Linked DNA regions of Oryctolagus cuniculus. The protein of the gene in region 2 interacts with the protein of the main gene of each other region in a biochemical or structural test. Links are inferred from orthologs where the notes say so. Each region holds a gene or a part of one and is shown on either strand. Other genes may lie near its edges.

The links.
Region 1: of the proteins of MAPK9 (region 2) and ATF2, one has a biochemical effect on the other in vitro, tested with the Homo sapiens proteins (4 studies listed by BioGRID and IntAct, with this or other methods). The link is inferred for Oryctolagus cuniculus from reciprocal best matches to the Homo sapiens genes MAPK9 and ATF2.
Region 3: of the proteins of MAPK9 (region 2) and ELK1, one has a biochemical effect on the other in vitro, tested with the Homo sapiens proteins (2 studies listed by BioGRID). The link is inferred for Oryctolagus cuniculus from reciprocal best matches to the Homo sapiens genes MAPK9 and ELK1.
Region 4: the proteins of MAPK9 (region 2) and JUNB form a complex in vitro, tested with the Homo sapiens proteins (2 studies listed by BioGRID). The link is inferred for Oryctolagus cuniculus from reciprocal best matches to the Homo sapiens genes MAPK9 and JUNB.
Region 5: the proteins of MAPK9 (region 2) and MAPK8IP3 form a complex in vitro, tested with the Homo sapiens proteins (2 studies listed by BioGRID). The link is inferred for Oryctolagus cuniculus from reciprocal best matches to the Homo sapiens genes MAPK9 and MAPK8IP3.

Annotation. Positions count from the first base shown.
Region 1 is NC_091434.1:66,033,599-66,037,112, reverse strand, and holds part of ATF2 (cyclic AMP-dependent transcription factor ATF-2), read right to left. Parts: intron 2,970-3,514; coding exon 2,791-2,969; intron 1,886-2,790; coding exon 1,771-1,885; intron 1-1,770. UniProt on the Homo sapiens protein: Transcriptional activator which regulates the transcription of various genes, including those involved in anti-apoptosis, cell growth, and DNA damage response.
Region 2 is NC_091437.1:67,263,355-67,266,868, forward strand, and holds part of MAPK9 (mitogen-activated protein kinase 9), read left to right. Parts: intron 1-967; coding exon 968-1,092; intron 1,093-2,190; coding exon 2,191-2,254; intron 2,255-3,394; coding exon 3,395-3,466; intron 3,467-3,514. UniProt on the Homo sapiens protein: Serine/threonine-protein kinase involved in various processes such as cell proliferation, differentiation, migration, transformation and programmed cell death.
Region 3 is NC_091453.1:33,148,407-33,151,920, forward strand, and holds part of ELK1 (ETS domain-containing protein Elk-1), read right to left. Parts: intron 2,671-3,514; exon of another isoform or gene 2,641-2,670; 5' UTR 2,607-2,640; coding exon 2,397-2,606; intron 224-2,396; coding exon 1-223. UniProt on the Homo sapiens protein: Transcription factor that binds to purine-rich DNA sequences. Forms a ternary complex with SRF and the ETS and SRF motifs of the serum response element (SRE) on the promoter region of immediate early genes such as FOS and IER2.
Region 4 is NC_091447.1:62,308,221-62,312,126, reverse strand, and holds JUNB (transcription factor JunB), read right to left. Parts: upstream 2,504-3,906; 5' UTR 2,062-2,503; coding exon 997-2,061; 3' UTR 505-996; downstream 1-504. UniProt on the Homo sapiens protein: Transcription factor involved in regulating gene activity following the primary growth factor response. Binds to the DNA sequence 5'-TGA[GC]TCA-3'.
Region 5 is NC_091450.1:33,432,108-33,436,132, forward strand, and holds the start of MAPK8IP3 (C-Jun-amino-terminal kinase-interacting protein 3), read right to left. Parts: upstream 2,811-4,025; 5' UTR 2,634-2,810; coding exon 2,316-2,633; intron 1-2,315.

The DNA.
Region 1 (3,514 bases), on a different chromosome or scaffold from region 2:
ATAATACAAAGATTAAAAGCTGTCATGTCATAAATAATTTAGATGAAGAAGTAAACTGTGTTCTGGAAAACTGTGCTAGATGGGTCAAAAAGCGGTTCTCAGATGAAAATCTGAAATGCTGAAAGACACCTTTGAAAAGTTTGAATAAAACTGTTTTCATGAATTCACATGTGAAAGTTGGGAAAAAAGGCATATTTCTCATTTTTATTATTCTAACCAATGTTATTTATTTATTTATTTGAAAGGCAGAAGTCAGAGAGAGAGGGAAGGAGACAGAGAGATCTGTCATCCTCTGGTTCACTCTTCAAATGCCTGCCATAACCAAGATTGGGCCAGGCTAAAGTCAGGAGCCAGGAACTCCACTGGGCTCCCATATGGGTTGCAGGGACCCAACTAGTTGAACCATCACCTGCTGCCTCCCAGAATGTGCATCATCAGGAAGCTGGAATTGGCAGCAGAGCTGGGACTTGAACCTAGTTACTCTGATTCTGTATGTAGGCATCTCAAGTGGTACCTTAACTACTAAGCCAAATGCCTGTCCTAAACAATGTGTTTTTAAATATTTTATAATCTACTAAGTACTATAACTAGGGGTTGGCACTGTGGCACAGTAGGTTAATCTTCTGCCTGCAGCACAGGCATCCCATATGAGTGCTGGTTCTAGTCCCGGCTGTTCCTCTTTCAATCCAGTTTTCTGCTATGGCCTGGGATAGCAGTGGAAGATGGTCCAAATCCTTGGGCCCTTGCACCCATGTGGGAGATTCAGAAGAAGCTCCTGGCTCCTGGCTTCGGATCGATGCAGCTCCGGCCATTGATGCCATTTAGGGAGTGAACTGGCACAAGAAAGACCTTTCTGTCTCTCCTTCTCACTGTAACTCTACCTCTCAAATAAAAAAATAAAATCTAAAAACAAAAAAATACAATAACTAGATATTTAATTGTCTATGTCTTTCAAATTTTATATATATTTGACTTGCCCTTACAAAACTTTTCTTTTGGATCTTCTCATTAAGAAAATGGGAGACTTATTACTTTAGAATGCTAAAATTTATTTGTTTTATTTATTTTAAAGGCAGAGTGACAGAAAAACAGAAACAGATCTTTCATCTTGATGGTTCATCACCAAATGCACACAACAGCCAGCTCTGGGCCAGACCAAAGCCAGGAGCCTAAGTACTCTATTTGGGTCTTCCACATGGGTGACAGGGACCCAAGTACTTGAGCCATCATCTGCTGCCTCTCAGAGTGAACATTAACAGAAAGCTATTAGAAATGGAGTGGGGCCTGAATACATTCATTCTGGCATCTTAACCACTGCAAACGTCTGTACCGCAAATGTTCAGAATGTTCTTAAGAATGCATGGGCCATCAAAGTAAATCTGTTAACTGAACTTGACCATCAAAGATCAAAGATTGTGTTTTTATAAAGAATTTCTAAATTAACTGAAATACCAAAGTTACCTGACAAGTGTTCTAGTACTATTTGAATTTTACAAATTCAGTCAAATAGAAATGGGGTAAATAAGGAATAAAGTTCATAGTGTAAAAAGTAAGGAAAACAAGATTGTTGGGAGAGGAAAATAGTTTATTTAATTATGTTTGCACTGAATGGTAGATGTTATTACCATAAATATCAATGAATAAACACTACTTACCACTATTATGTACTTTCTTAAATTCAGTTTTCATAAGTCAGTCCAGCAGCTTCAACTCTATTTTCTGATTACTTTATACAGACCAGATCTACTATAGTCTAAATTTGTAACTTACTGGGACTGCAGCTGGAACATGTACATTAGAACTTGTAATTGATGCAGGAATAGCAACAGGCATGGTTTGTCCATTCGGAAGATGCAATAGAAGAGGAAATGGGCCTGGCACAGGACTATGAAGAACAAAAGAAATGAAATTAAACAGATTCAAAGAAACCATCACTTAAAAATACAATAGTATTTTTACTTCTATTATTACAATATTAATAAATTTCTTAAGCACTGTAAACTTCAGAAATAAAATTATCTTTAAATATGTTTTTTAAAGATTTATTTTATTTGAAAGAGTTACGCAGAGAGTCAGGGAGAGACAGAGATTTTCCATCTGCTGGCCTACTCTCCACCCAGATGGCCACAACAGCCATAGCTGGGCAAGACCAAATCCAGGAGCCAGAAGCTTCCTCCAGGTCTCTCACATGGGTGCAGGGGTCCAAGGATTTGGGCCATCTTCCCACTGCTTTCTCAGGCCATTAGCAGGGAGCTAGACTGGAAGTGAAGCAGCCAGAACTTTAACTGGCACCTATATGGGATGCTGGTGCTACAGGCAGCAGCTTTATCTGCGAGGGTACAATGCCAGTCCCCAGACCATTATCCATCGGCTAACTCTCCAAATGGCCACAGCAGCCAGGGCTGGGCTAGGCCAAAGCCGGAGTCAGGAATGCCATCCAGATACTCCCACATGGGTGGCAGGGGCCCAAGCACTTGGGCCATCTTTTGTTGCCTTCCTAGGCAACAAAGCTGGATGGGAAGTGGAGTATTTGGGACTCAAACTGTAATACGGGATGCTGGCATCCTAAGTGGCAGTTTAACCTGCTATATCACAATGCTGGTGGGCCCTGAGAACTAGCTGCATTTAAGAACTGAAAGAAGTGTCATCTGGTAATAGAATAATTTTATATGTTTTGCCTTAAAGAGCATGAAAATATAAAAAATCATCTTAAATCAGCTATCTTAGGAAAAATCGTAACAAGAAAAACTTAATTCATACACAGTTCAATGACTGGGCTTAATCACTTACACAATTGGCCTATTGGAGGATGGTGCCTGGGTGATTACAGTACTTGAGGTTGGTGAAGGTACTGCCTGCTGAATAATTACACTTGAATCAGAACTTGTAAGCAGCACATTGGGAACCTGTAATGATGCTGGACGAACAATAGCTGATGTGGGCTGTGCAGTTTGTGCCAATGGTACCTCCTATTTAATAAAGACATAACAAAAAGCGTAGAATTTAAAATGCAATTAATGCATGTACCTTAGTGAACAGAACATAACACACTTGCAAACACATTCATAGGGTAATGCTTAACCTCTCAAATTAGTATCTCAAGTGAACTAAAAAGAAATTTTAGAAGTAGTTGTAAAGGTTCACAGGCAATGTTCAATTAATTTTTAAAAACCTCAGCGTTTTTTTCAGTAAAACTTATTTTCATGTCAATTCAGAAGTAAGTCAGGTTGGACAATTTGGCTATAATTCCAAGAGAATTTTAGTAAAAAAGTAAAAACACGATCCACTCTCAAGAATTAGAAAACTTTAAAATCTATAAGGGAACACCTAAGTCTACTTCCTCATTTTACTGTACAAAAAGAAAACAGGTCCAGAGAAATTTCGCTATGATTAATACAAATTCAACAATGGAAATGTTAAACTATTAACTAATCTTAGGCCATCTTTCCTATATCAAAAACTTCAATAACAAAAGGCCAAGTAATACTGATACCTTGAATACAAAATAATTACT
Region 2 (3,514 bases):
GAATGTTGGGAGGAGAAATAGTTGAAACCACAGAATACAGTCAGGTGCAGGCCAGACACCTGGTACATGAAAGCACTGTGGGGAGAGGGCTATAGATGCGGAAGTGTTGTCCTCCGTGTTCAGATCAACCTGAGAGGTTCTTAGGCCACAGTCCCAGCAACTGAAATTCAGAATGTCGTTGGATATAAAGAAAGCTGGAGTGAAGATTGCAGAGTCAGAATCCATGCTCGTTGTTCAGTAAAAAGACCTTTCCTGCCCTTCAGTGTCCTTCACTGAAATGTGATTGTTAAGGAAAACGGTCGATTTGTTTTCATCCGCATCGAGCTGCAGCCTTGCTTTGTCTGTACAAGTTGTGAACTTCATTCAGTTGCCAGAATCTAGCTGAGCCTGTGTTTTAGTTATTGAACTTGTTGGTTTTTCCCTAACTACTAATCTCTAAATTTAGGGGAAAAAAAATAAGTGAGTATTGCTAATATTGTATACAGCTAGGCCAAACAGAGGCATCTCTACAGTGTTTTATTTTGTGAGAGTATCAGACTCATGTGTGGTTTTAAAAGACCGTTCTAATTTCATTTTAATGTGACGGGAAAAAAATACTCATGCCCACACCCCTGGCAGTGCCGCCTGAGCTCTTACCCCGCGCCCCGCTCCCTGCCATGTGCTCTCAGCCGCGGGCCCCCTGCAGACACTGGCCCAAGGTGCCTCGGAGCCTCCTACTCCATCTTGGGACACAGATTTCTCCTCCCCTTCCTGGGTCAGAGGAATAAGAACACGTTGGAAAGCCTGGGTTTTTTGTTGTTTTTTGTGAAAGTGGCTGTTTGAGTTTTCCTTAAGGCTTTGGGCTCTGTTGATCTCTAACCTGTCACATCTCTTCAGCATTCATTTATCTTTGTTATGTGTGTGTAGTACACATTTACTTCTTCACTGGGTGTTTTCCTGAGTTCACCAGTCTTTGTTTTCACCCTAGCGAGTCAAGCCAGGGATCTGTTATCAAAAATGTTGGTGATCGACCCCGACAAGCGGATCTCTGTGGACGAGGCTCTGCGCCACCCGTACATCACTGTCTGGTACGATCCTGCCGAGGCAGAGGCGGTGAGTGCTGATGCTGAGAAGGCAGATGCAGGGCTTCCCCCTGGTTGGCCCAGAATGGCCACGCAGGAGCAAACAGGTGCTGGGTTTAAGGCTCCTGACTGCACAAGGGCCAAGCGTTGTTTGAGACCTGGTCAGGAGCAGTTTGGGGCAGTTGCTGCTGGGGCTGCAGCTTAGAGCATGAACAAGCTTACGTGGAGACAACTGTCTTCACTTACACAAATGCCAACACGCGGCACTTGACACCGAGCGTGTGTCCTAAGAAGCCTGTCGTTGGGCAGTGCGCTGTTGCGTGGGCACTAACAAAACCACGGTGTCACCAGGCAACATATTCTATGGGAGCACCGTTGCAGGCGTCGTCGGGTGTTGGCCAAATCTGTCCCTTGTTCTGTGTCCCTTCGGTGCCTGGCCTCAGATTAAGTCCTCTTCCTCAGGCTCCTCCTCAGAGAGGCTGAGTAGTTTGCTGGAGAGCACACTGACCCAGCCCAAGGGCATCCGTGCCTCCCATGGCCACGCTGGGCTGAATGACCTCGAGCTGCCGGTGAACGATGCCCTAGCAGCGTTCTCAGTCCGTGCTGGCAGGTCTGCAGTGTTGGCTTGTGGATTCCAGCACCAACTTCAACATTGTTGGTGTGAAAAGCATCTGACTTAGAAGCAGGTGTTTGCAATAGCGCATCTGTGAGTTAGGTATTGGGATTGGGAGTTCTACCATGAGGAAACAAAATGTATTCCAAGAAAGTACCACCCCTTCCATAGCTCCCAACACAAGGCCTTGTCTGGGGAGCTCCAGGGAGCAGCCTGTGATTATCATTTTATAACTGTGTCTGAGAAGATGTCATTAGAATATCCTGAGGTCCTGCGATTATTAAGAGGATTATTATTAATAGCTCAATTTCTGGTTAATTCTTCCTTAACCATTTTGATTCTGAAACTGATGTAAAATTATATACTGATATATATATATTGAAATATATTCAAATATATATTGAAATTGATATAAAATCTTTAATGAACCATTTGTTAATGAAAAGAAATTCATATCACTCTGCCAAATGTCTCACCTTTTTTTGAAGTTGACTTTACATGTAATCTGGTTTTTAGCCACCACCTCAGATTTACGATGCCCAATTGGAAGAAAGAGAACATGCAATTGAGGAGTGGAAAGGTAAATCCTGACTTGCCGTGCCCCCGGGGTCGGGGGAGGGGGCTTTCCCTTTGCTAGCAGCCCTTTGGGAAGGACCAGAGACCCCAGCCCACTCACCTCTTTCTAACCGAGGGAGAGAGGAACATGTGTGGCCTTGTACTGCTTGTTTCAAGGATGAAGGATGAGGGCTTCTTCACCTGACTTTAAATTCCCAGATGTTGCTTTGTAAACTGAACCCCATTGATGGTCTCACTGATGATGTGTCAGGTTGTAAGGCAGCCCCGGTTCACATAAGCAGACATGGGAACTCTGCTGGTGTGTTTAAGCCATACAGTTGCACATAACAGTACAAAATCTAGTTGCAGATCAAAAATATGCAAGTAGATATTATTATCACCTGAGATTAACCAGGCACCCCACCACCACCACAACCTAGACAGCAGTGTGGAGGCTGACTGACAAGTTCTCATTCAAAAGCAGGGTCCCTGGTTACTGAGAGCCCAGAGCCGGGGCCAGTGGGGGTCAACCCTGCTGGTGTGACACGGGGAGCCGGTTCCCTGTGCAGGCACCCTCGGCCTGCCGTTCCCATAGCCATACTCACAGGCCTCAGGAAATGCTACAGTGTGCCAATGTCAGTTCACATTACTGCCATTTTAGAAACCCCTAATAACTTACTTGGTAGGCAGTTAGTTCTTACGAGTGAAAGTTGAAAACTAAAGCTGAAGCCAAGAAAAGACTGAGGTGTACAGATTGATTTCTGGCCAAGCTACAGGGGCCATAGCCCACACGGGCCAGTGTCACTCGCAGAACCACTGTGACAGTGGAAAGAAGTCTGTGCATGCCACTGGGTAGAACATCCAGTCCTTTAAAACGTCGGTGAAAGCCACTCTTCTCTCCCTTTCTCCCCTGACTCCTTCCCCACCCCCTGTTGAACTCAGAATGGCCCTGTGTTTCTAGCTACCTTAATGGTTGTGTGGAGGAGTTGCGAGTGGATGTTTTGGCCTAGGCAGATTCTGTCACTGAATTGCCTGAGTGTCGCAGTTTAAAGCGCTCACCACGGAGCCCAGAGCCGGGGGGGGGGGGGGGGGGGGGGGCGGTGATTTGAAGCAGAGCTCAGCCAGCAGAGACACTGAGGCATTTCACCTGCATCTCTGTTTGAAGAGCTAATTTACAAAGAAGTAATGGACTGGGAAGAAAGAAGCAAGAATGGTGTTGTGAAAGATCAGCCTTCAGGTTAGTGATTGCTCTGACCGCTCGCAGGCCGGCGCGCTGTCTCCTTTG
Region 3 (3,514 bases), on a different chromosome or scaffold from region 2:
AACCACCTGGGCCTGCCATCCCTGCACCCTTGGGTGTGCCTGGCTTTCCACAGGCGGTGTCCCCAGGGGTGGCATGTACAGCAGCAGGGGCCACATTTGCCACGGCAGAGGCAACAGACACCTCAGGCTGGGACGGGCAGTCTTCGGTGGAGCACCCTGCGACCTCGGGATAGGACACGAACTTGTAGACAAACTTCTGGCCGCTCACCTTGCGGATGATATTCTGGGAAGAGACAAGACAGAACAGAGGGCCTTAAAGGTCAAGGGCGGGGGGAGGGACGGTGTGGCCGGGAGAAGAGAGGCTGGAGGGGCTGTCTTCCTCCTAGCACCTTTCTTCCTACCTGCCCCTATTTCACCCATCTCAATCGCCTGTCAGTATCTGCATCCCTTCCTTCCCCCTCCCCGGATCCGTCTCTGTATTCCTCCTGTTTCTCCCTTCGACAATGCTTTCTTTAATCTCCTCCCCATCCATCTCCCTCCCTCTTCATCTCCATCTGTCTGGTTTCCCAAGCTGTGCCAGCTCCTGTTCACAATGGAACCCCTCTAGGGGAGTATAGGTGCAGGGGTGTCTGCAGGTTAACAAGTTCAGGCCTATGGGGTGGCTGCTAGGACACAGACTTGGAGACTAGCTAATGCAATATAACAGCAAAATGAAGTGAGTGCTGTAAATGTTGGAAGAGATGAAATTAATGCAGATGAGTGGGATGACAAATTACCAATATAGATTATTTAATGCTATTAACATAGAAGTGGAACAGGCCGAGGTCCATTACAGAGGACAGGGTAAGGAGGCCTCATTAATACTACCTGTGGGGGCAGGGGTTCAGTGGAGCAGCTTAGAAACTGGTTGGGATGCCCACATCCCATATAGCGGTACCCTGGTTCAAGTCCCAGCTCTGTTCCCAATTCTAGTTTCTTGCTAATGTGCAACCTGGGAGGCAGTGGATGATGGCTCAAGTAGTTGGCTTTCTACCACTCATGTGGAAGACAAGGACTGAATTCCTAGCTCTCAGCTTCAGTCTGGCCTGGTCCCAGCTGTTGTAGGCATTTGGAGAGTGAACCAGTGGATAGGAGCCCTCTCACTCACTCGCTCGCTCTCTGCCTCTCAAATAAGTAAAAAAACAAAAACAAAACCAAAAAGACTGTTGTGGAGTTGTGGAGGTTTAAACCAAAAGGGCAACAAAATGAAGTAACTGACAATTAGGAAAGAACAATAAAATACTGGTATAAATATTGGGGGAGGGGCAAGTATGTTTGAGGTATTTCAGGACAGGTCCGGTCTGGAGAGTTTCAGGGACGTTCTGGGGTCTCTTAGGCTACAGTGAGGTAGCCCCACTGTTTTGGAGATCTGGGTTAAAGGAATAAACTAGGAAAGTGGGATAAATGCTTCCAGTGACTAAAGGGTGTGACACAGGTCTGTGGCTGTTCCGGGAGCAAGAGGAGTCTGGGGGTACTAGGCAGTCTTTTTCTGATTAAAGATTTATTTATTTATGTGAAAGGCAGAATTAGGGAGAAGAGAGAGAGACAGACAGACGCGTTCCATCTATTGGTTCACTCCCACAAATAGCTGCAAAAGCAGGACTGGGCTAGGCCAAAGCCAAGAGCCTGGAATTCCGATGTGGTGCCACGTGGCTGGCAGGGGCCCAGGTGCTTGGGCCATCTTCCGCTGCTTTCCTGGGTGCATTAGCAGGGAGCTGGTTTGGAAGTGGAGCAGCGCCCATATGAGATGCCAGCATCGCAGGCAGTGGCTCAGTTTGCTGTGCCACAACGTGGGCCCCCTGGTGAGGTCTTTGTGCTGATCAGGCATGTCACGGGGTGGGCTTGTGTTTCTCAGAAGAGGAATGAAAAAGAGTATTAGTTTACACTGTTTCAAAGGCTTCTTCTAAATAAGAAAATGAGATGCATGTTATAAATATTAAGGAGAGAAGAAAAGTAGTGCAGCTCAGAGGGTCTGATAGGATGCAGAAAATTTAAAATTCCAGCTATGACAATAAGATGATGAAATAAAACAGTTGATACGGATATTGGAGCAGACCAGTGTTGCTTTGGGAATCCAAAAGGATGGTGTGTGGCGCTGACTTTACATATGCTGCTTCAGAGACTTCAGTGAAAGAAAATAAAAAGTATGAGGGTCCCAGAGAACAAAGTAAGAAAGGTTAGCATAATATTTTCAGGGAGGTTTTGATTCCAGGAATTAGAATAGAAAATATTTTAGAGTAAGAGAAGATTATAAAGCTTTTAACCAAAGCAGTAAAACAAGAAAATAAAATGAGATTAAGTTAGTCTGAAGGTCCCAGAGAAAGGGTTAAGAAATAATACATTTTAATATGATGTTCAGTTATACCATAAGTTAGACAAGAGAATGACACTTGTGACCTCAATGTCAGAGGCCTTACCTTGTCATAGTAGTACCGCAAGGCCCGGCTGAGCTTGTCATAATTCATGTTGGTCTTGTTCTTGCGCAGCCCCCACAGCCGGGCTACCTCCTCTGCATCCACCAGCTTGAACTCACCACCATCCCGTGAGGTCCAGGAGATGATGTGGCCATTGCCTTGCTCTCTCAGCAGCTGCAGCAGAAACTGCCACAGCGTCACAGATGGGTCCATCGCTGGGGCAACACTCACGCCATCCCAGGGATACCTGGAGGGCAGAGAGCTCAGAGCTGAGAAGCTGGGGACACAGGAGGAGGCAGAGATGAAAAGGAGGATTCCTTTCTTGTCATCTTGTCCCTACCGCTGTCTCCAAACGCCACTATCTTTCCCCTAAGCACCATCAGATTAACTTTTAAACATCTCCGTCTAGTTTTGGTTGTCTCCTGTAATGGGCCAAGATTTATGGTGGCTCTTAGGATGGTGTGAATGTTTTGCACGTAGCAGAACGTGGTAGGCAGAAAAATGCTACCTCCGATTCAAAGAAGTCCACATCCTAATTCCAGAACCTGTGACTGTTATGCTATATAGCAAAGAGGAACTGTGCAGATGGAATAAGATTACAGACTCTAAGATTATTCTGTTGTTTTTTTTTAAAGTGAGCTTTTAAATACAGAAGAGGGGGGGCTGGCACTATGGCACAGAGGGTAAAGCTGCTGCCTGCAGTGCTGGCATCTCATAAAGGCACTGGTTCAAGTCCTGGCTGCTCTTCTTCTGATCCAGCTCTCTGCTACGGCCTGAGATAGCAGTAGAAGATGGCCCAAGTGTTTGGGCCCCTGCACCCGCATGGGAGACGTGGAAGAATCTCCTGGCTCCTGGCTTTGGATAGGCTCAGCTCTGGCCATTGTGGCTGTTTGGGGAGTGAACCAGCGGATGGAAGCCTCTGCCTCTCTCTCTCTCTCTCTCTCTCTCTCTGCCTCTCTGTAACTCTGCCTTTCAAATAAATCAATCAATCTTAAAGTCAGAAAGGGCCCTCAGCGGGCAGCCACTAAGGAAATAAGGATCTTGGTCCTGCAACCTCAAAGAGTTGAATTCTGCCAACAACCCCAATAAGCTGGAGACGGATTCTCCCCCTAGAGCCTTCA
Region 4 (3,906 bases), on a different chromosome or scaffold from region 2:
CCGGGGAAAATCCCAGCCCCCTTCCCGGCGCCGCGGCCCTGCCCGGCAGCGCGGGGGGGAGGGGATTCCCGGAATCTGCCCGGAGACCGCCGTCGCGTCACTGGGCCGAATCGGCCCATATATGGGCAGCGCTTCCGCTGCGTCAGCGGGGAAAGCCCCGGCGCGCGCGCGGCGGGGCGGTGCCGCGCCTGCGCACTGCGGCGCGCCGCTCGGGGCAGCCTGCCCCTCCCGGCTGCAGGGCCGGCTGGGCAGTGTCTCGTGCGCGCGCTGCGCTGGGATGGAAACCGTCCAGCCTCGGAGACTCTGGGGATGAGGCCGCGAGACCGGGGTGCACGGGCTGGAGGGGTCGATGGATGCCAGAGGGGACGCATAGAGGAACCAGCAGAAGCACTAGCGGGGTGCGGTGGGGTGGGGGTGGGGGGAGAAGCACCGGGCTGCTCCTCTTCCCTCCTCCCACCCGGCTTGGAAAAACAAAACAAAACAAAACAAAAAGGACAACAGAGATTAATAAAGAACCATTTTTTTTACTTAAATAGATTCAATAAAAAGTCAGAACAAACGCGCGCACGCACACACACATACACACACACAAAAACATCTTAAAATAAACTTTTTTTTTCTTAAGAGACCAAGTGCGTGTTTCTTCTCCACAGTACGGTGCAGAGCGGGGGAGGGTAGGGGGCGGGGGTCCCCTCTCCCAGTGTCCCCGCGCGGGTTTTGAGTACCGGGGCGGCGGGGCCAGCTCCGCCGCCATCGCCCCCTCCTCCTCCCCTCCCCTCCCTGTTAAATATACACAAATATATTATATTCAATATGAATCGAGTCTGTTTCCTGCAGAAAAAAAATAGACATACAAAAAAAAAAAAAAAAAACGTGGAAAGAAAAGCTTGTAAACGTTCAACGTGGAGGGACCGGGCGCAGAGCGGAGTCCAGTGTGGCTGGCGGCGTCCCGGGCGCGCGCCCACCGCCCACGCCCCCAGCAGTCCAGGTCGGTGCTCAGAAGGCGTGTCCCTTGACCCCGAGCAGGAGCTGGCAGCCGTTGCTGACGTGGGTCATGACCTTCTGCTTGAGCTGGGCTACCTGCTCGCGGAGGAGCCCGGCGGTGCTGGACAAGCCCGCGTTCTCCGCCTTGAGGGTCTTCACCTTGTCCTCCAGACGCGCGATGCGCTCCAGTTTCCGCTTCCGGCACTTGGTGGCCGCCAGCCGGTTCCGCAGCCGCTTGCGCTCCACTTTGATGCGCTCCTGGTCTTCCATGTTAATGGGGGACACGGGCGGCGTGGCGTCTCGGCTGCGCGCCTCGGGCACGGTCTGCGGTTCCTCCTTGAAGGCCGAGGCGCCGCGGCCCAAGCCCAGCTGCGCGGGGTGGCCGCCCGCGAAGGGCGGCGCGTGCGGGAGGTAGCTGATGGTGGCCGTCGGGTACGAGCTCCCGGTGCCCACGGCGGCGGCGGCGGCGGCGGCGGCTCCGGCGCCTCCGGAGGTCGCAGAGGCCGGGGAGTAGCTGCTGAGGTTGGTGTAGACGGGGGGCGGCTCGGGGCCCGCGTAGACGCCCCCGGGCCCGGCCGGGGGTCCCCCGCTGGCGCCCAGGGACACGTTGGGGGGCGTCACGTGGTTCATCTTGTGCAGGTCGTCCAGCGCTTTGACGAAGCCGTCGGCGAAGCCCTCCTGCTCCTCCGTGACGCCGCCCCCTGCGCCCCCGGCGGCACCTCCGGCGCTGCCACCCCCGCGGGGGTAGAAGTACTGTCCCGGGGGCGTGGGCGTCGTCGTAATCACGCCGTTGCTGTTGGGGACGATCAGGCGCTCCAGCTCCGAGGAGGCGATCTTGAGTGACGCGCCTGTGTCTGAGCCCTGGCCGGGGAAGTAGCTGCCGGCTCCGCTGCCCTCGGGGCCGGGGCCCCGCGCCCCGGGCGCTTTGAGACTGCGGTAGGGGTCTGTCAGGTTGAGCGCCAGGCTGGGTTTCAGGAGTTTGTAGTCGTGTAGAGAGAGGCCGCCGGGGGCCCGGCCGTATCCCGCCGCTGCGTACGAGTCGTCGTGGTAGAAGGGCTGTTCCATTTTAGTGCACATCCGGGCGGCCCAGGCGGTCTCCGCGGAGGGGAAGGGCGGCGGCGGGGGAGGGGGCGTCCCGGCGGGACCGCCCCGGGCCTCGCTGCGGCCGAGCGACGCGGTGGCCGGGTGGCGCGCGGTTGTCTGTCCGGTCGCGCGTTCCTGGCGGGGAGCTGGCAACGGGCCGGTGGCGGGCGGGGAGGCGACCCCCGCGGGCAGCTGCGCGCCTCCAGCCGCGTCCGGCTTCCCGAGCGCGCTCCTCGCCCTCTTCTGCTGGCCGCCTTCGCTTTTCTCTCGGTGTCGCTGCCTTTCCCCGCACGCCCCCCCCAACACACCACCCCGCGCCGGCCCGGCTCTGGCTCTCCCGCTTTGCCAACCGGCTCCCCCCCCCTGCCCAGTGTCTCTTCGCCGACTGCTCCGAGGCTGCTGGCCTGGCCGCCCTCAAGGTCCCAGGCGCTCAGCCCGAGCCGCACGCATTTTATACGGCGCTATTCAGCTGCGGAAGTGCGCGCCGATTGGCCGGCGCCGGAGCCGGGCCCCCGCGCCCCCTCCCTCCCCGGAGCGTGGGGAAGGGGAGGAGGCGGCTGGCGTCACTGTCAGGAAGCGCGCGTGTCCTTGTAAACAGCGGCCACGGGGCCTGGCGGCTCGGCGCGGCTGCAGGGGGAGGGGCCCCAGGGACCCCCTTCCCCCAACCTGGGTACGCCTGGAAGGGAGCTTGTGGTCTTGGGGAGAGGGGGAACGCACCTAGACTTGTAACCGGGGCTGGGGGTGGGGGTGGGGGTGGGTGGAAGAAGACCCTGCGGGAGAGTGACGATTCCCCGGGGTGGATATGCAGACCTGCTGCTGAGCAAAGGGGGTAGGGGGTGGGGGTCCTCAGGATGCAAATGGAAAGGTGGGAGGACCCCACACCACACTGGGAGACCCCCCTCTCCTCCAAGAGTGGGGAAGGGGAGGGTTCAGCCGAGTTATTGGGCAGGGTCGGAGCAAGTGTGTGTGTGTGTGTGTGTGTGTGTGTGCGCGCGCGCGCGCACGCGCGTACAAAGAGACCCCTGACTCAGGAATTGACTGAGGGGTGTCTTGGGCCCAGAGAGGTTGAGATACTGGGATGTTTTTTCGGGGGGGGGGCTGAGGAACAGGAGAAGAGTTCACAAGGGGTCAAGGGGCGGGACTGCATGGACCTATTATGCAAGAAATGAGTAGGGGGTCTCAGAAACGGAGGGCTTCCGCCCCCACCACTACTACCCGGGTTAAGTGGGAATGAGAAGGAATTGGGGACGAATCTATGATATGCAGCAAGTGAACAAAGATCCTGGGGTACCCGGACTCTGGGTGCAAGACGTGGCGTAGGAGATGGCGACATTTTTAGCAGAGGTTTGAGGATCACTGAAGTCACCCGCGAAATCCTGATGGAGTTGGAAGGGTCGGCGCGCCCGATGGGAGCTGAAGGGACAATGACAGGAGGGTACCCGGCTGAGACGCGCCAGGAGGAGGGGGCTTTGTGCATCCCGGGGAGGGGTCTTTCCCCTGGTGGGTGACCCCCCAGCAGGCACCTGTATACTCCGTCGCCCGTCCGAGAACCCCTCCCCTAGTCACACTGGGCTTGCCAGCTTCTGGAGTCTGGACCCAGCCCGACGGCCCCGGGCGCGGTCGCCCAACCCCACTCCCTTCCTTAGAAGCAGGCTGGGGAAAGAACGCCTAGGCAGGAAGTGTGGCAACAGCCCCGGGGGATGGAGCCCGGCCCTGTCTCCGTCACTCCGCTCCTACGGGACCGTGCGCCCCGCCCTGGGTCCCGGCCTTCTGCGCCTTTGCGAGAGGAACCTGGACGTGCGCGACCTCCACAGAGGCCTGGGTGCGCAGCGCCCAGCC
Region 5 (4,025 bases), on a different chromosome or scaffold from region 2:
CGTAGCCTGCGTGCCACTCCCGGGAAAGGGCTCTGGGCTCCTGGCCGGCCGCCGGGTGATGCAGCAAAGCAGGCCCGCTCACCGGCCCGAGCTCCCCCTCCTCCAAGGGAAGGAGCTTGAGGCACTCACACTGGGCCACAGGACCTGCTCTGCCCCGCGGGGGCTGGCGATGCCCGGGCTCGCCGTGAGCCCCCAGGGGCTCTGCCCTGACTGCCACACCGTCTCAGCACAGTCCTCCACGTGCCACATCCGGAACCCACCCGCTTCCCCAAGCAGCCGCGGCGGCCCAGAGAGGAGACGAGGCTGGGTGCAGGGGCCTCTCCCGGGACCCCACCATCTCCAGCCACTGTCACCCCAGGGCTCCAGCCGCCAGGACGCGCCCAGAACCTCCCAGGGTGCTGGCTGTGAGGCAGGGGACGGCTGCTCTCTTGGGTCAAGGCCTTCGGGAGACCCCTGCCGCTCTGTCGGCTCAGGTTCCCGACTCTGACTAAGCCTTCTTGGCCGGCGGCTGGGCCGGGCCTCGGCCGACAGCTCAGCCAACTCTGCACCACACCACGCCTGCACCGGTGACCTCCAGCCCTTGTGTTATCACACACCTCCGTGATCAGAGGCCTTTCCCGCAGACCCCTGCTTGCGGTGACAAGGGAGCCGGGATGCTGCGTGTACGGCATCAGCCCCGTCCTCACCAGGGCCTCCTGGTGCCATCACGGCTGGCCGGCCACCCACCCTTTCCCACAGCCCTCCGCAGCTTCTCCAACAGCTGGGGCAGCGGCGGGTGAGCCGGCCTGCACACCACACGCACACCCAGCGGCTCTCAGTCCCCAGAGCACTGGCGGGAGGGTGGACGCGTCCATCCTGGCGGCTCCATCCCAGCCCGGAGCTGCCCTCTGACCCCCTGCAGCGCGGGAAGGTGCGTCCTGGCCTGGTGCCCAGGGCTGTGCATGTGACCTTGGGCAGCCCCCCACTTCTTGGGGCCAGCTGCTCCCCTGCGAAGCACCCCAGATCTCCGTAAGCTCTCACACTCCAGCTCTGGCAACCCTGACGTGGAGAACGTCACACCAGCTTTGGTGGCGGCAACCAGACGGGAACCCGGGAAGCAAAGCCAACCAGAGCCGGCAGGGATGACGCCAGACAGGACACCGGCGCCTTTCACAAACACGCGTGACGCGAACCAGGCCATAAACCGCTGCGGCTTAGAGAAAAAGAAAAAAAAAGCCAAGACACTGGCACCGCCTCACGGCTGAGCACCGAAGCCAAGAACGCTAGGCCCAGTTAACCAGGAAGGAACCCGAACTCCTCTGCCCCCCCCCCCCCATCCACAAGCCCAAGAGAACCGCGGGACCTCCTCCCCGCAGTCTCTGGGCTCAGACCCACCCGGACAACTCGCTCCTCCGCCCGACGGGCAGGTGACCAGGGCCAAGGTCACGGGGAGGGAGCCCACGGCCCCCGCACCCCCTGCGCTGGGTCCGGCCGCCGCCGCGCTCGGCATCCCTGGCGCCCCCGGACCAGCGACTCCCGGTTAGGGACGCATCCAACGCCGCCGCCCCCCTCCCCCTCCCCCGTCCCCACAGGCTGCTCTGGGTCCTCGGGGGCCGGAGCCGGCGACCCCGGCCCCGCACCCCCTTCGCTCGGCCCTGGGACGGCCGCCGCCGACCCCGGCCCCGCACCCGTCGCGCTCGGCATCCCTGGCGAGGGGGTCAGGCTAAGCGATGCTCCCCGCGGCCCCGGACCGGCGACTCCCGGGCTAGGGCCGCCCCGGCCCCGGCCGCGCGCCCTCGCCCCGGCCCCGGCCCCGGCCCCGCGCCCCCGCCCCCGCCCCCGCCCCGGCCCCGGCCCCGGCCCCGGCCCCCGCCCCGGCCCAGCCGCGCGCACCTCCTCGCCCCCGGCCCCGGCCCCGGCCCCCGCCCCGGCCCGGCCGCGCGCACCTCCCCGCCCCGGCCCCGGCCCGGCCCGGCCGCGCGCACCTCCCCGCCCCGGCCCCGGCCCGGCCCGGCCGCGCGCACCTCCCCGGCCCCGGCCCCGGCCCCGGCCGCGCGCACCTCCCCGGCCCCGGCCCCGGCCCCGGCCCGGCCGCGCGCACCTCCCCGCCCCGGCCCCGGCCCGGCCCGGCCGCGCGCACCTCCCCGGCCCCGGCCCCGGCCCCGGCCGCGCGCACCTCCCCGGCCCCGGCCCCGGCCCCGGCCCGGCCGCGCGCACCTCCCCGGCCCCGGCCCGGCCCCGGCCCGGCCGCGCGCACCTCCCCGCCCCGGCCCCGGCCCCGGCCCGGCCGCGCGCACCTCCCCGCCCCGGCCCCGGCCCGGCCCGGCCGCGCGCACCTCCTCGGCCTGCTTGCGCAGCGCCTTCTCGCGCTCGTACTGCGTGAGCAGCTGCTCGTTGTCCTCGCGCAGCAGCTCCAGCTCCACCTCGTGCTCCTGGTTCTCGCTGAGCACCGAGTCCAGGTTCTCCAGCACGTTCACCACCAGCGGCATCAGCTCCTTGACCACCTCCTCGTCGTAGCAGTGGATGAGGCGCTCGAACTCGCGGTAGATGGAGCCCGCCAGGCCCGACACGCGCTCCGACATCACCGAGCCCGAGCAGTAGTCGTCCTGGTAGACCACCACGCCGCCGCCCTCGTCCATCGGGATCTCCATCATCGCGGCCACCGCCGCCGCCAGCGCGGCCCGCTGTCCGGCCGGCGCGCCCGGCCCGCCCTGGCTGCCCGGGGGTGCGCAGGCCGCGGCGTCGCCTCGGGCGCCGCCGCCGCTGAGGGGGAGGCTGAGGCGACTCTGCTGCCGCTGCCGCTGCCGCCGCTGCCGCCGCTGCCGCTGCCGCGCCCGTCACTCAGCCGCCGGAAGTCCCGCCCCCGCCGCGCCGCCGGGGGTCGCAGCGCCGTGACGTCAGCGGAAGCGGGCTCCGCGCCGGAAGCGCACCGGAGCCGGAAGGGCGGTTTGCGGCCGCGCCGGGCGGTGCGCGCGGACGGCGGCTTCCAGGCCGTAGCGGGTCGGGGGCTCCCGGGTGACCGCGCCCTCCGCTCGCCCGGGAAGCGGCCTGCGGCCCGCACCCCGGGCCGACCCCGGCGCGGCTCTTGTCGGCCGTGGGCACGTGTCGAGGCCACCTAGTGGGTTTCCAAGTATCCGCTTTTTGTTTCTCTGATCTCGTTCAAAACTGTCGGAAACGGGGTCGAGACGCGTCTGTTAAAAGCAGGGACTCCGTGCCCGGGAGGGGCGGGCGTCGAGGCGCGTCCAGCCCAGCCCGCGGGGTCGCGGGGGTCGCGGAGCCAGCCCCTGCCGGTGCGCCCGGGACCCGGCTGGGGCTCCTGGCTTCGGCCGGCCGCTGGGGGATGAACCAGCTGATGGGAGATCTTTGTCTGAAAGTGCCTTTTATGCAAGAAGTTTTTTCATCAACCATTTTTAAAAATTTTTTCAAAAGATTATTTGAAAGACTTGGAGACCGAGAGGGAGGCCTTCCAGCCCCCGTTCCCTGCCCCCAGGGCTGGGCTAGGCTGAAGGCTTTATCCGTCGCCCCGTCCTCTGTGCTTTCCCAGGCACGGGCTGGAGGTGGAGCCGCCAGGACAGGGACGCTGGCGCGGCCGGCGGTGGCGTCCTGAGCCCTGCCTTGATAGGTGCGCATCTCTTAGGTTTTCAGTTCTCTCCTTTTTTAATCTAAATCTGGTACCTGCAGCCTTCGGGGCGCGGCCCGCAGTCAGCCCCTGGAGGCCTGTGTGTGACCACACACCCAGACGTTGTGAACCCAGGACTTCACTTACATTAGGGACGGCTTAGAGTCGGCCCCGAGCCTCTCATCCTGACCTGCACCACGGCCGCCCTGGAGCCGATCCCTCCCCGTCACCCAGCGGGCTGCGCGCCCCGGGCTGAAGTCCCGCGTCAGGCGGCCTGGGCTCTGCGCGCCCCGGGCTGAAGTCCCGCGTCAGGCGGCCTGGGCTCTGCGCGCCCCGCGTCAGGCGGCCTGGGCTCTGCGCGCCCCGGGTTGAAGTCCCGCGTCTGGCGGCCTGGGCTCTGCGCGCCCCGGGCTGAAGTCCCGCGTCT